Linked DNA regions of Callithrix jacchus. The protein of the gene in region 2 binds, or shares a complex with, the protein of the main gene of each other region. Links are inferred from orthologs where the notes say so. Each region holds a gene or a part of one and is shown on either strand. Other genes may lie near its edges.

The links.
Region 1: the proteins of RHO (region 2) and SAG are in contact, whole or in part, in a crystal structure (PDB 4PXF), measured with the Bos taurus proteins. The link is inferred for Callithrix jacchus from reciprocal best matches to the Homo sapiens genes RHO and SAG. Residues at the interface, in NP_001014890.1 of Bos taurus: Arg135, Val138, Val139, Lys141, Leu226, Glu249, Val250, Met253, Met309, Asn310, Lys311, Gln312; in XP_010802144.1 of Bos taurus: Asp71, Ile72, Met75, Gly76, Leu77.

Annotation. Positions count from the first base shown.
Region 1 is NC_133507.1:154,652,184-154,656,170, reverse strand, and holds the start of SAG (S-arrestin), read right to left. Parts: upstream 2,803-3,987; 5' UTR 2,672-2,802; intron 899-2,671; exon of another isoform or gene 693-898; intron 1-692. UniProt on the Homo sapiens protein: Binds to photoactivated, phosphorylated RHO and terminates RHO signaling via G-proteins by competing with G-proteins for the same binding site on RHO. May play a role in preventing light-dependent degeneration of retinal photoreceptor cells.
Region 2 is NC_133516.1:72,615,956-72,620,053, forward strand, and holds the end of RHO (rhodopsin), read right to left. Parts: intron 3,502-4,098; coding exon 3,336-3,501; intron 3,227-3,335; coding exon 2,987-3,226; intron 2,160-2,986; coding exon 2,049-2,159; 3' UTR 509-2,048; downstream 1-508. UniProt on the Homo sapiens protein: Photoreceptor required for image-forming vision at low light intensity. Required for photoreceptor cell viability after birth.

The DNA.
Region 1 (3,987 bases), on a different chromosome or scaffold from region 2:
ATCATTTGAAGCCAGGAGGTGGAGACTGGCCTGGGTGACACAGCAAGATCCTGCCTTTTCTCTTTTTTTAAAAAAAGATCCTACCTTAAAAAAAAAAAAAAAGAATATATTAAAATCCCAAAAGTTCTATTTAGCAGTTCATACTGAGAGATAGCCTTTTCTTGCTATCCCTTTTACCACTCTGTTTTACAATTAAGAGGCCATCTTAGTGGTCTGGAATTAAACATACTCTGAGGCTTTTTTTTTTTTTTTAAGATACAGGATCTCGTTCTGTTGCCTGGGCTGGAGGGCAGTGCCACAATCATAGCTCACTGCAGCCTCAAACTCCTGGGCTCAAGTAATCCTCCTGCCTCAGCCTACGGAGTAGCTAGGACTACAGGTGTGTGCCACCATGCCTAGTTAATTTTTTTTTTTTTTTTTGGGAGAGACTGGGTTTGACTGTATTGCTCAAGTTGGTCTCGAATTCCTGGCCTCAAGCAATCCTCCATCCTCAGCCTCCTGAATCGCTGGGACTATAGGCATGAGCCACTGCCCCCGACTCACTCTGAGTCTCCTTAATTACAGTCTTACGGAAACCACACAGAAAAAGTGAAGCCGGGACATACTGTCTGCATGAAAACACCCATCCTAGCTCCCCCCGCCACACCTGCCCCAGGTTTCTGAGAAGGTTTTGGCCTGTGGTGGTCACATACCTTGTGATTTGTCACCAACCGGGTGGGAAAAGCCAGGTGGCAAGGAGAGGGTCTCTATGCCCTGAGATGATGAACAGCCAGTGCCTGTTCTGAGCAAGCTGCTACCGTCTCACCAGATGAGCCCGCAGAGGCACTGCCGAGGCCCTGGGCTACGTATGCAGGGAATTTGTAGGGGATCTAGCGAGGATGCCCAGCATCCAGGTCTCAATGTCTAAAAGCCAAATCCCACTTAAGGAGCAGAGTAGGATTAGTGCTCAGACAGTGAACTGGTAGTTTCAGCAGTTCTGGGCATTAAGCAACACCCTCCGCCCCAGTCTCCAGACAGAGGGTCTCACATATGTATGAGTCACCTGGCTCACTTGGGGAAGGTTGGTGGGAGGGCCAACAGCTAAATGAAAGCTACTTTTTCTTCTAAACCTCTTTGGATTCTGGAAATAGACTGATTATCCCTTCATTCCCGGGCTTTGCCAGGACAGGAAGAGATTTGATTAAACTCAGCAGGCAGCTAATGCGACCTTGTGGGTGGGGACTAAACAAAAAGGTCAAGGATAAATGTCAACCTCAAGATGAACCTGGTATTATGCAGGCCAGCTGGATACCGTCCCTCTCCTCCAGCCGGTCCTGCCGATTGATGGCTCAGGAGTCCTGCTGATTTCTTCGGTGTCTCTGGGACCTGTCTGCGTCCTCCATCCCCAGCTTTGCTTCCCCAGACCGCAGTGATTCCCCACTGTCTGACTACATATATTTCTTTCTTTCTTTCTTTCTTTGAGATGGAGTCTTGCTCTATCTCCCAGGTTAGAATGCAGTGGCACGGTCTTGGCTCACTGTAACCTCTGCCTCTGGGGTTCAAGTGATTCTCCAGCCTCAGCCTCTGAGTAACTGGGATTACAGGTGCACACCACTATGCCTGCTAATTTTGTATTTTTAGTAGAGACGGGGTTTCACTATGTTGGTCAGGCTGGTCTTGAACTGACCTCAGGTGATCTGCCTGCCTTGGCTTCCCAAAGTGCTGGGATTACAGGCATGAGCCATCACGCCCAGCTAACTAAATCTGTTTCTACTCTCCAGGCCCTTTTCCACACAGAGGCAGAGAGGCCTTCCGAGCCCCGACCTGTCACCTCCTGCTTAAATCACCCATTGCTCTTAGAATGCAGGCAGAAAGGCTGCAGCCTCTGGAACCTCCGCCTGCCTTCCCTTCCACGTCGTCTGCCATGCTTGCTCCTTCCCACTGTTCTTTTTGCCTGGAACAAGCCTCTCCTCTCTTCACCTTGTTGACCCTTCTTGGCCTTTCAGATTTTGACCAGGAATCATCCCCAACCTCCAGGACCAGATTGGAGGCACACCTGCACTTCACTCTTTTTTTTTTTTTTTTTTGAGACAGAGTCTCACTCTGTGGCCTGGGCTGGAGTGCAGTGGTGTGATCTTGGCTCACTGCTGCCTCCGCCTCCTGGGTTCAAGTGATCCTCCTGCCTCAGCCTCCCGAGTAGCTGGGATTATAGTTGTGCACCACCACGCCCAGCTAATTTTTGTATTTTTAATAGAGATGGGGTTTCATCATGCTGGCCAGGTTGGTCTCGAACTCCTGGCCTCCAAAGTGCTGGGATTACAGGCATAAGCTACTGTGCCTGGCTGGTAGAATTATTCTACAGTCTCTCCTCCCTCACCAGATTCTAGGCTCCAGGAGGGCAGGGCCTATGCCATTTCATTTCTCTCACTTCTGTCTTCATAGTGCCTGGAACAATGCCTGCTCCCAAGAACGCTCAGGGAATGCATGGAGGGCACTCTGTGACCAAGAACACACTTACATGGGGGACTTGAGCTAGGAATGAAACAAGGATATGCGGAAGGCCCGTTCTGAGGTTTGGGGCATCGGCACCCATCCAAACGCTCCAGTGGCTTCCCAGCTAAGTCTGGACAATGCTTGCCAAGTCCGGCGTGCTCCAGCGCCCCCTCCCGTTACCTCCGGCTTTGTTTCTCACCGCTCTCTCCCTCTCCCACTTGGCTTCAGAGTACTGAGTCTGTTTCCTTTTCTTTCGGAGACAGGGTCTCACTCTGTCACCCCAGCTGAAGTGCAGTGGTGCAATCGTAGCTCACTGCAGCCTTGAACTCCTGGGCTCCAGCGCTCCTCCCACCTAAGCCTCTCGAGTAGCTAGGACTACAGGCACATGCCACCACACCTGGCTAATTCTTTAAATCTTTTGTAGAGACGGGGGCTGGTCTCAAACTCCTGACCTCAATTGATCCTCTCACCTGAACCTTCTAAAACGTTGGGGTTACAGACATGAGCCACCACCCCTCGCCTGCTTTTCTGCAAACCTGCCTTTAGGCCTTTCCACCTGCTGCTTCCTCTCCAGGAACACTCTTCCCACAGCAGCCACATGGCTCACTCCTTTGAGTCTTTACCTCAATGTCACCCCATCCTTAGCATACTCGATTGTTGGCCTCACCATACCTAAACTGCAAAACCCCTATTTTAAAACACAATGACTATTCATTGGTGCCAAAGCCATTAGGTGAAGAGTTGATGGGAAAATGACTGCAGGACTGAAGCGATGCCACGTGGATAGCGGTGTCCTCCCAAGGTGCATGGCAGATACCATGGTCAATCTTAGCATTGCCGGTGGTCTCAGCCACACGTGATATGTCCCCTTGGGTTAACCTGAATCCACGAGCCTTTACACATCACTTCTAGTTTATCAGAAATACAAGGAACCAGCTACATGACACAAGAGAGCTGCTGGAGAAATCCAGCAAACAATGCCATAGAAATGGGGTTTACTAGATTAAAAGACACTATGGCACTTGACACCCAGATGTCATGTGCAGCCCGAGATTGAATACACAACTAGCCAAAAAGGATGTGTGGGACATTTTGGGTTCATTGGGAATATCTGACTATGGTAAAATGACTGGAGTGGAAAGGTAAGAGATTGGGACTGAACCCAGCAAGGCTGCAGGATGGCGCTTTGCAAACACACAGAGACTATGCATTTGTGTATACATACATATATGTACATTCATACACACATGCATATACACACAAGCACATTTACACATATACATGTGTGTTCGCATGCATGCTATACCTATGCAAGAATACACCTTAAGCTAACATTGGTGGTCTCTGCGTGGTGGAAATGGTAGGTTTTGCTTAAATTTTCTTGTCTGTAATTTTTCACATTTTCTCCTACAATCATTTGCTGCTCCTATAATAGAAAGGTTAAAATACAAAACCGTATTATATAAGTGAGATGTAGAGGTGCATGCCTGTAATCCCAGCACTCTGGAAGGCTGA
Region 2 (4,098 bases):
CGCACTGCAACCTCCTCCTCCTGGGTTCAAGGGATTTGCTGCCCTCAGCCTCCTGAGTAGCTAGTATTGTAGGCATGTGCCACCATGCTTGGCTAATTTTTGTATTTTTAGTAGAGACAGGGTTTCATCATGTTGGTCAGGCTGGTCTCGAACTCCTGAACTCGTGATCCACCCGCCTCAGCCTCCCCAAAGTGCTGGGATTGCAGTTATGAGCCACTGTGCCCAGCCAAGGTCAGTTTTAACATCCTCTTTTGCAGATAAGGAAGCTCAGAGAGGTGACAAAACTTGTTTGCTGTTTTGTGGGTCACCTGTGTTTCTATGAACCCAAATTTGGGGTTTTTCCCATTCCCAGGACTATTCGCTCTACCTGTAGCTCCTGGGGACTCTGTGCGGCTTGGCTTTGCCCATTGCTCAATCCAGCCATCCCAGGGTCAGGGATCAGGTGGAAGCTGGCAGTTTCAATCTATCCTGTGGATAAAGAGTTTGAAAGCAACAAAAACCACCACCATTAATACCAACATAGGAGCTGAGCTTTAATGGCCCAATTTGCCTTCATCTCCAGGCAGAGCTGGGTAAAGCTAGAGCTTCTGGCTTTGCTTATATGGAGAAGGGGGAGCAGCTACTGAGGGAGGTCAATTCTGACACCTCAGAGATGTGGCCAGCTTTTTGGAGCAGACTCTCCAGAATGGAGAATGGACTAGCAACTGCTGCAGATGGGCTTGTCTGGCAAGGGAAACTGGAAACTGGGGCTCATGAACATCCCCAGGGAAGGTGGGCCAGGTGGAATATCCCACTCTTTGTTTCTAAGCTCTTCGAGATAAGGATGACGTCAGGGACTCAGCTCTTCATTAAATGTGGACGGGTGAGCATGGCTTCTAAAGACTCCATGCTCTTGATGCTGGGACTCAGGTGCTGGGGCAAAAGGGCAGGTAGCTTCCAGAGGCTGAGAGAAAGGCCTGTCTCTCCATAGGCCACACTGAGAAGGGGAGGCATGGGGTCTGGGGTTCTACCCTAGGGGTGAGACCCCAGGCCCAATCTCACCCTCATTGGGACCTTGGCCTTCACTGCCCCTCTCCCCCAATGTTTTTCAGGTCTGATGACTACATTCTACATTCCTGTGACTGTCCCTGCCTGCAGCTCAACCTCCAGCCCTGGTCTGGCCTCGAGGCCTAACTCATTTTAAATCCGCCCCAAGGCTGGTTGAAACCCCATCCTCTGATGCCCAATCTCAGAATGTTCACTATCAGGAGGTAATGATCATAATTACCTGTTAATAATAATTAACAAGTTACATTAATTGATGTTATTCACAACGTTAACTAGCATCTGTACGGCTTCTTGCTATTTACAAAGTGCTTAAACACACACATGGACACGCACACGCAGCACACGCACATACACACACACACACACACACACACACACACACACACACACACACGCCCCTCATTTGGTCTTCTCAGTAGCTGCAAGTCGGCAGGACCAGAGATGTGGGATTTCCATTTCATAGGGGAAGAAAGTGAGGCCCAGGGAGGGAAGAACAACTGCTCCAAATCATGAGCCAAGTGTGAGCTGCTGCTGCTAAGAGGGTCTGAGAGGACAGATACGTTCTCCCTTCCCATTCATTCCTTCATTCATTCCTCCATTCCTTCCTGCATCCATCTAGCATTTATTAAGCACCTATGTGTGCTCCATTGTGTGCAAGACACTTAGCCCTAAACTGGGACATTTTTCCAGAAAGCAAGATTTCCCTCGTGTTCCTGAAAGATGAGTTGGGAGGAGAAGGGGCACAGATCCCACTGGCCTTGGGGAACCTGGGACTCCAGATCAGTAGGTTTTCGTGGATGTCCCTTCTCAGGCCATCCCGGGTGAGTGAGAAACCTCATTTTTCTCTCATGAATTATTTCTCAAAAAAAAAAAAAAATTAAGGAGCCTATGTGACTTCGTTCATTCTGCACAGTCGCTGCTCCTGGTGGGATGGCTGTGGCTGGGGGAGAGTGTGGGGGATGGGAGACGCCTACGGTCAGCCACAGAGTCCTTGGCAGGTCTTAGGCCGGGGCCACCTGGCTGGTCTCCGTCTTGGACACGGTGGCGGAGGCCTCATCGTCACCCAGTGGGTTCTTGCCGCAGCAGATGGTGGTGAGCATGCAGTTCCGGAACTGAAAGGCAAGAGGCCTGAGTTAGGACCGGGGCTGCCCACAGTGCGCTTGGAACTGGCACGTTGGTGAGGTTTGCCCCAACCCTTTCCCGGCTTGTGCCCCTCACAGTTCCACTCAAATCCGGCCTCCTGGAGGGAACTTGCTAAGCAGACACTCCCCACCCGTAGAGATGCCAGGGACCGAGCAATAGGGGACTGCATCACCCTCAACATTTCATGGTGCCCTCTGCGTGCCAAGGGTGTGCTGCAAATTCTCTCCTGTAATCTGAGAGTTTGGTGTTTTGCCCTTTCTATGGATGAGGAAACCAAGGCCCAGAGAGGGGAACTGACTTGCCCAGCGCCACAAGCTGGAAAATGGCAGAGCTGACTTCAGAGACTGTTTCCCCCCTTCTGGGTTCCTCGGGGAAACCACTTGCTCTTTGTTATGGGACTGCCTTATCCCTTTACCCTTCAGAATAAGATTTTTTAGCTCCTTATTCAGCTTTATGGAGACTGGCCCATCCCATTCTCGGCCTGGGACCTGCTGACGTTGACATCAGGCTTCCAGAACCATCTGGACTGGAGCTTCTGACACCTGAGTGAGGATCCGAGGCACCTGGAGGGCTTGCTGGTGATGCAGGTTCCTGGGCCCACCCTGAGATTCAGCAGGTCTGGGTGGGGTCCAGGAACCTGCATTTCTCACACGCTCCCCATTGACACTGCTGACCCGTGAGCCCCACTGCCAGTAGCCCTGATGGAGCCCCCTCCCCTGCCCTGGCACATAGCTTATCCTTAGCAGGCAGTGCCCGTGGCCTGGGGCACTGGGGCCCTCCCACCCGCAGTAGGCACCTGCTTGTTCATCATGATATAGATGACAGGGTTGTAGATGGCGGCGCTCTTGGCGAAGAACGCTGGGATGGTCATGAAGATGGGACCGAAGTTGGAGCCCTGGTGTGTGAAGATGTAGAATGCCACGCTGGCATAGGGCACCCAGCAGATCAGGAAAGCGATGACCATGATGATGACCATCCGGGTGACCTCCTTCTCCGCCTTCTGTGTGGTGGCCGACTCCTGCTGCTGGGCGGCGGCCTGCAGGGACACGGGACCCGGGTCCAGACCATGGCTCCTCCGAGGAGCAGGAGCTGTAGATGTGCGTTGGGGGCTGGACGCTCAGAGGCCACCCACCCCCAGCCCGTACCTCCTTGACGGTGAAGACAAGCTGCCCATAGCAGAAGAAGATGACAATCATGGGGATGGTGAAGTGGACCACGAACATGTAGATGACAAAGGACTCGTTGTTGACCTCCGGCTTGAGCGTGTAGTAGTCGATTCCACATGAGCACTGCAGGCCCTCAGGGATGTACCTGAGACAGGCAGGTAGGGAGACCTTGCCTGTGAGGGACTTGGGAATGGCCCCGGCCAAGGTGCCTGCCAAGCACTGGCCCTCTCTGGGGCTTCCTGTTCCCTCCCTGGAAAGGGGATCATAAAGGTCTGCGTGGCTGGGTGACAGGATGGACTGCATCCGGTGGGGATGCAGATGCACCTTGTGGAATCAGTGTCGCTTCATTGTTTGGTGGCTGCGGTACCAGATGACATGACCTAGCCTCTCCCTGCGTGCCCTGCCTCAGCATCCGCTGCCTGCTGAGCCTCAGGCTATGCCAGGCAGAGGTTGGTGAGGACGAGGGGAGAGCCCTCAGGCTCTGTATTTGCGGCAGTTTGTACAAACTAGCACCAGGGTGAGAGTATTTTCCAGGCCAAAGACAGACACACAGGGTATCTAAGGGATCTCTGTGCAGCTTCTGGAAACAAGAGGCTCCCAGGGCACATGGTTAGGACGTGGCAATGGTTCCTGATGTTGGTGGCAGTGAAATGGCCTCAGGAAACCCAGAGCGTCCAATGGCTGTGATTCCAGAGGATGGAACTAGGCCAGACTGGAGAAGATGGGGAAAAAGTCCAGGGGG